Linked DNA regions of Oryzias latipes. The protein of the gene in region 1 interacts with the protein of each later gene in a biochemical or structural test. Links are inferred from orthologs where the notes say so. Each region holds a gene or a part of one and is shown on either strand. Other genes may lie near its edges.

What was found.
Region 2: the proteins of liprin-alpha-1 (region 1) and git1 form a complex in vitro, tested with the Homo sapiens proteins (2 studies listed by BioGRID). The link is inferred for Oryzias latipes from reciprocal best matches to the Homo sapiens genes PPFIA1 and GIT1.

Annotation. Positions count from the first base shown.
Region 1 is NC_019861.2:2,121,414-2,125,228, forward strand, and holds part of liprin-alpha-1, read left to right. Parts: intron 1-2,066; coding exon 2,067-2,168; intron 2,169-2,356; coding exon 2,357-2,521; intron 2,522-2,617; coding exon 2,618-2,692; intron 2,693-3,815. UniProt on the Homo sapiens protein: May regulate the disassembly of focal adhesions. May localize receptor-like tyrosine phosphatases type 2A at specific sites on the plasma membrane, possibly regulating their interaction with the extracellular environment and their association with substrates.
Region 2 is NC_019871.2:27,394,135-27,397,949, reverse strand, and holds part of git1 (ARF GTPase-activating protein GIT1), read left to right. Parts: intron 1-2,250; coding exon 2,251-2,403; intron 2,404-3,815. UniProt on the Homo sapiens protein: GTPase-activating protein for ADP ribosylation factor family members, including ARF1.

The DNA.
Region 1 (3,815 bases):
ACACATTCTCTGAGTTAGAGAAACCTTTTCTGAGTTAGAGAAACCTTTTCTGAGTTAGTGAAACCTTCTCTGAGTTAGAGAAACCTTATCTGAGTTAGAGAAACCTTCTCTGAGTTAGTGAAACCTTCTCTGAGCTAGTGAAACTTTTTCTGAGTTAGTGAAACCTTTTCTGAGTTAGAGAAACCTTCTCTGAGTTAGTGAAACCTTCTCTGAGCTAGTGACACATTATCTGAGTTAGTGAAACCTTCTCTGAGTTAGTGGAACCTTCTCTGAGTTAGTGGAACCTTCCCTGAGTTAGTGAAACCTTCTCTGAGTTAGTGAAACCTTCCCTGAGTTAGTGAAACCTTCTCTGAGTTAGTGAAACCTTCCCTGAGTTAGTGAAACCTTCCCTGAGTTAGTGAAACCTTCCCTGAGTTAGTGACACCTTCCCTGAGTTAGTGAAACCTTCTCTGAGTTAGTGAAACCTTCCCTGAGTTAGTGAAACCTTCCCTGAGTTAGTGACACCTTCCCTGAGTTAGTGAAACCTTCTCTGAGTTAGTGAAACCTTCCTTGAGTTAGTGAAACCTTCCCTGAGTTAGTGACACCTTCTCTGAGTTAGTGAAACCTTCCCTGAGTTAGTGAAAGCTTCCCTGAGTTAGTGAAACCTTTTCTGAGTTAGTGATACTTCTCTGAGTTAGTGAAATCTTCTCTGAGTTAGTGAAACCTTCCCTGAGTTAGTGAAACCTTCCCCGAGTTAGTGAAACCTTCCCTGAGTTAGTGAAACCTTCCCTGAGTTAGTGACACCTTCTCTGAATTAGTGAAACCTTCCCTGAGTTAGTGAAACCTTCTCTGAGTTAGAGAAACCTTCTCTGAGTTAGTGAAACCTTCCCTGAGTTAGTGAAACCTTCCCTGAGTTAGTGAAACCTTCCCTGAGTTAGTGAAACCTTCCCTGAGTTAGTGAAACCTTCCCTGAGTTAGTGAAACCTTCTGTGAGCTAGTGACACATTCTCTGAGTTAATGAAATCTTCCTTTGAGTTACTGAAACCTTCTCTGAGTTAGAGACACCTTCTCTGAGTTAGAGAAACCTTCTCTGTGTTAGAGAAACCATCTCTGAGTTAGAGAAACCTTCTCTGAGTTAGAGAAACCTTCTCTGAGTTAGAGAAACCTTCTCTGAGTTAGAGAAACCTTCTCTGAGTTAGAGAAACCTTCTCTGAGTTAGAGAAACCTTCTCTGAGTTAGAGAAACCTTCTCTGAGTTAGAGACACCTTCTCTGAGTTAGAGAAACCTTTTCTGAGTTAGAGAAACCTTCTCTGAGTTAGAGAAACCTTCTCTGAGCTAGTGACACATTCTCTGAGTTAGTGAAACCTTTTCTGAGTTAGAGAAACCTTCTCTGAGCTAGTGACACATTCTCTGAGTTAGTGAAACCTTTTCTGAGTTAGAGAAACCTTTTCTGAGTTAGAGAAACCTTCTCTGAGTTAGAGAAACCTTCTCTGAGCTAGTGACACATTCTCTGAGTTAGTGAAACCTTTTCTGAGTTAGAGAAACCTTTTCTGAGTTAGAGAAACCTTTTCTGAGTTAGAGAAACCTTCTCTGAGTTAGAGAAACCTTCTCTGAGCTAGTGACACATTCTCTGAGTTAGTGAAACCTTTTCTGAGTTAGAGAAACCTTCTCTGAGCTAGTGACACATTCTCTGAGTTAGTGAAACCTTTTCTGAGTTAGAGAAACCTTTTCTGAGTTAGAGAAACCTTCTCTGAGTTAGTGAAACCTTTTCTGAGCTAGTGACACATTCTCTGAGTTAGTGAAACCTTTTCTGAGTTAGAGAAACCTTCTCTGAGTTAGTGAAACCTTCTCTGAGCTAGTGACACATTATCTGAGTTAGTGAAACCTTCTCTGAGTTAGTGAAACCTTCTCTGCAGTGCTCTCTGTATTTCTGGGTTTCCTATGATGCCAGAGTTCTGCTGTGATTGAAATGTCTGTCTGTGTTTACATGAGAGCGGAGGGTTTCTCCGCCATGAAGCCTCACGGTGCACAGCGCATCAGTAACGGCTGCATGCCCCCTGTTCTCTTTGTGCTTCATGCTTCTTTAGGAGTTTGCTGCACTAACAAAGGAGGTGAACGTGTGCCGGGAGCAGCTTCTGGAGAAAGAGGAGGAGATCGCCGAGTTGAAGGCGGAGAGGAACAACACCCGGGTGAGTGAGATGCACACCTTTTTCCTTGGATCTAGCTAGCAACAGTTGTCAAAACAAAAACTCTTTTACTGTTTAACATTGACAACAAATCTTATGGAGACAAAAAACAGTTCATGGTTTCCAAAATGTGTAGTTTGAGAGCAGGAGCGAGGCTTCACTCTGGTCCTCCCTGTCTGTGGTGTGTGCAGCTCCTGCTGGAACACCTGGAGTGCCTGGTGTCGCGTCACGAGCGCAGTCTGAGGATGACCGTGGTGAAGAGGCAGGCTCAGTCTCCTGCTGGTGTCTCCAGCGAGGTGGAGGTCCTCAAGGCTCTCAAGTCACTTTTTGAACACCACAAAGCCCTTGATGAGAAGGTGTGTTTTTGTAGGGAATGTCCAACAGCTCCTGGTAGAATACTGTGCTTGATAAGGATGAATGAAGTTAAAAAGGTTTATGTTCCACCTTTGAAGGTAAGAGAGCGTCTTCGTGTTGCTCTGGAGCGATGCAGCGCTTTGGAGGAAGAACTCGCCATTTCACACAAAGAAGTGAGTAAACACTACAAACTCTGTTTGGGGCTTAGGATGTAAACGGGGTGTTTCGGCTCCAAGTTAGAAGAAGTGCGGCTACACTGGACTTTGTTTAGTATTTATTGAAGTCTCAAGAGCTCAGAGGCTGTTTGTTCATGCATGAATCTACCTGATGTCCTTCATCCGAGGACTGTGGTACATATAGCAGGTTCCAGATGTTATCTGAGATCGCTTCAGTCAGACTTTGCAGAAATCATGTCACACCAGGTTAGTAAATGCTGTGAGGCCATTTGAGCTTTATACAAATGCGTTGAAATGAATCTCATAAAGAACTTTGTGTGATGTTTCTTTGTCCCTCATGTTTTTGATGCCTGCACCAGCCACCCTTGTGAGGGACCAAAGGCTGATTTATGTGAGGTTTAATGCCTTTTGTGAGGCAGAGGGGAAAAAAAAACAAGCACAGGAACCGCGAGAATTGCCCCTTACCCCATAACTTCTGCTAGTTGCCTCTGCTTTTAGTTTAACCCGATGAAGCAGCAGAACATGTGAGGGTTTGTACCAGGCTCCAGAAAGACCTAGAGGAGAATTTTTTTCTCTCAATAACCTTTATTGCACATTTTTCAATTTACAGAAATTCACATTCAGTTGCACAATAAAGAAACAATTGTTACTATCAAACACACATATAAGACCAAACAACAATAATAGGAATAAGCCCTTTTTGTGTGTGTCCCTGCTGGACTTACAGCAGCAACAGAATGTTTAGGGAAGAGGGTTGATATGGAGACAGCGATGTGGTGACACTGATGCTACCATGCTATCATGCAACCATGCTATCATGCTAAAATACTCAGATGCTTTATTGCTGTGTGTCGCCTACATCTGATCACGGACCGGTTTAAAGTCAGACCATATTTTCACAGAGCGAACTTTAAGACGTGGAGGATAAATGCCACAAAAAGAATTCATAGAACATTAATAAAAACTGTATTTTATAAATATAATAACAGACACTTTCTGCTGGCTCTTGTAACATTACAGAGCCCAGCGTTGAGCTGAAAAAAGACCCCCCCCTCGTGAGAACAACTTTACCGTCAATGAGTAGAATCCAGAACATGATCCTGTTTTTATTCTGTTTCTC
Region 2 (3,815 bases), on another chromosome or scaffold:
GTTCTCCAGTGTTGATGCAGCAATTTAGAAAGTCATGAGAAAACCTACCTCGTTTTTTCATTACAAATTTGATTTTTGAGTTTAATCCGGGGTTTTTTCTCCCTCCTTTTTATTTTCTTTAACAAAAATCCCAAATGACAGAATCTTTTTAACCAAACTATTTTCAGTTGAACATTTCCTTTGGAAATTGGATGAAAGATACAAAATTCTGCTAAATACAAGCTGTAAACGTGTTGGCAGAACAAAGGAGCTGGTGCTTTGTGATGTCATTGACAGTAAAGACGCAGCGCTGTCATGAGGGGAAAAGTTCATACCAAGGTTATGATAGTTAACGAAAACGAACGAAAAAACTCAAACTAGAACTGAAAAAACATTTTCGTTAACTGAAATAAAAATAAAAACGAGAGTTTTAAAAAAAAACGAAAACTAACTAAAACTGTTTGTGTGAATAAAACGAACTGAAACTAACTAATATTAACCCCAAAAAATCCTTCGTTTTCGTCTTTGTTAATACATAAGTCTTTTGGGTTGAAATAAAATCTATTTACTTCACGCTGCTAGTTTTACTGTGTATCTTCTGAACCTTACGGCATCACGTTGTCTGTGACGTCACATGATGTCTGTCAGACACTGCCGGCTAGCGTGGTCATAGACATTTACATGAGCGTGATGGCTGCATTAAAAGTTGGGAGAAAGCGGGAGAGTCCTATTTGGGACTGTTTTGAATATAACAGCGTCGAAAACAAAAGTAAGTGCCTTGTAGTCGAAGCAGGAGACAAAGTTTGTGGAACGCTCCTCAAAGGGAAAAACCCTACGAATCTAAAAGTACATTTAAAAAGCGCACACTAAAACGCAAATCAACAGTACCTAGACAAGCTAGCCTGTCGCCCGCCCTCCCCCGAAAAAGAAGCGAGAGCAGGTAACGTAATGCTGTCATCGGCTGTTGTATTTTCATTTAAGGATGGTTGTCCTTGAGTCCTCTGAATAATAAATGTTTCAAAATGTATCTTTGATTGAGTTTTTATTATAAAATACTTACTCTGGTGATTTTGAATCATGCACCTGACAAATATCCTAATTTACAAAAAAAAAAGGAAAAAACTAAAACTAACACTAAAACTAATACAAACTAAACTAAAACGAAGCAATTTCAAAAAATAAAAACTAGTAAAGCTGCCTCTAAAAACTAATTAAAACTAAATAAATTTAAAAACAAAAATTCAAAACGAAATAAAAACTAAAACTAATAAAAAATTTGAAACTATTATAACCTTGTTTCATACACAGTTTTTATAAATGTTCTTAGAAATCATTTACCGTAGTTACATTTATCCGCCGCGTCTTAAAGTTCCCTCCCTCCCCGGAAAGTTCCCTTTCCCTCCTGAAAAGATAGTCTGACTTCAAATGTGGTTAAATGTAGGCGACAAACAGAGCAGCTGATTAGCATAGCATGACAGGATTCAGCATGGTAGCATCAGTGTTTTAACGTCACCGCTGTCCCAGAATCAACACTTTTTATTCAACTTTCTGTTGATGCTGTAAGTCCAACAGCTTCATCATCCACTTCTGTCTGGATCCTGTTAAAAATCCTCACATGTTGCTGCTTCAGCAGCTTCAACTAAAAGCTAAACGGAGGCATTCATACATTTTGTGTAACGTTCTCCTGAGAGACTACCTTTCCCAGAATGCTTTGTGGGAAGTGGCCACAGTCGGGGACTGCCACATAGCTCCTGACTGACATCATCAGCTATTCCGAGTCCTCCTCAAAGAGGCTTTGTTCCTTCAGCGTGAGTTTGTGTCATTTGGAGTGCGAGGGGGGAAAAAAAGAAGAGATGGAGGGTTAGAAAAGAAAAGAGTTCTGTTCAGAGGCAAACAAGCTAACTGAGGGATCATCCTTTGCTGTTCAGACACAGCATTTTCACTGGAAGGGCCTTAAAAAGTCAAGACTGCAGTGATTGGGTTGTAAACAGTGGAGCTGAACCATTTAGAAAAACTAGTCTATGAAAGACATTTCAGTGGTTTGGCCCTGGAGTCTGAGCGTCCTTCAGACACAGGAAGCGGGGGAGGATGGGGCTCTGAGAGCCAGAACTGAGGCTCTACTATCTCCCTGTGACTCCAGCTGAGGACTAACCCTCTGCCTCGTACACAGCCTGAGGCTCAGTTTCCCCATAACTTCATGCAGCATGGACTTCCCTGTTGTCGTGTCCACCTGTCTGTCCTCTCACTCGCTCGTCCTCTGGTCCTTTGCAGAGTATGGACTCGTCAGACTTGTCCGATGGTCCCATAACCCTGCAGGAGTACCTGGAGGTGAAGAAAGCTCTGGCCTCCTCAGAAGCCAAGGTGCAACAGCTGATGAAGGTCAACAACAACTTGAGTGAGGAGCTCCGGCGCCTCCAGAAGGAGGTACGAGGAGGCAGTGGAGTCACGGAGTTACAGGAAACCAAATGATCTGATTATCCGTTTTCATTTAAAGCTGTTTGTTTGTATTTGTTTTAGGTTATAAAAGTCGTATTTTTAAGCCCAAGGGTTCAACAATTTTACGCCACTTTTTGTTCATTTTAAAGCAATAATGATGTGAAATTGATTCTCAAAAATGGATGTTTTCATACGTCTTTGTTGTTCATTAGTGAAAAGATGTCACGTAACCCTTGTGCTATCCTAGGCACTTCAACATTGGGAGTTGGGTCATCTAGTCCAGTGTTTTTCAATCAGAGACCAGAGATGGTCAAGTGTGCCGTGGGAAATTGCCCTCATTAACTGATCTAAAAACATTTCCCATCTCCAGGATTCAGCTCTGTGTTCATCCAAACAGGCCCTGATAAAACACTGAGTAGTTAGGAATATAAAAGATCATAAAATTATTTTTTCTTTGTGTTCATTTTATTCAATTAAAGACATTTTGATAAGAATGACGGTACCGCGATTTAGCTGCAGCTAAAGCCGCTTGCGGCAAAGTCCCGCCCCTCTGACTGTCTACGCCAATCATTCTTGACGGCTTAATCACATGTCATCAGTCTGACCAATCACAAGTGGTTAAAGTCTCCACTTCCTTGTTCCGATTTAGCTCATAAAGTCTCTCCGTTCTAAAGGAAAATACCAGCCAAAGCTCGTCTTTAGCGGTGTAGCTTTCCACAGAATCCGGTATCAGACCGTGGAACAAGTGAACAAAACATTGAATCGATCAATACAGACTTATTTTTTTTTTTTTTTTGGATGCTGGTGTGCCGCGGGGTCTTTGTCAGGGTTAAAGTGTGCCGTGGCTCAAAAAAGGTTGAAAAACACTGATCTAGACCCAATAGACAGTGCTCTGAACCTTTTTTCTTCAATGATTTGTGACCTTCACTGGTGTCCATGGATTACATGAAATCTTTCCACCTTTATCCACCTTTGTCATGGTAGGGAGAACAGGTCAACGTAAGGGTGGGGTCATCTAAGATAGCACAAGGGTTAAGCGCCCTTTTTGGGGGGAGATTGATTTGCAGGGCAGCTTTTCGAAACCTCCAGTGTTCTTGCTGAGAGGCTGCAGACAACGTCCCACATTTTGGTTGAGTTTTGACGCGCCTCATTCGTCTGTCATCTTTTATTTGGACTTTTCACTGAGTGTTGAGAACAAAAGCTCAGAAGCAAACATTCAACTATCAGACCATCCAGCAGCAGCGCTCTGCAAACGAGCCGTTCCTTCATCAGGCTCAGGCAGGTCCCCAATACAAATGAGAGAAATATACTGTAGAACTGATGTTACTGTGTGAAACCCCCTGTTTTTTAATGATTGTGAGCTTTTTCCAGCATGTTTTTCACCATTCAGTTTATGCCCC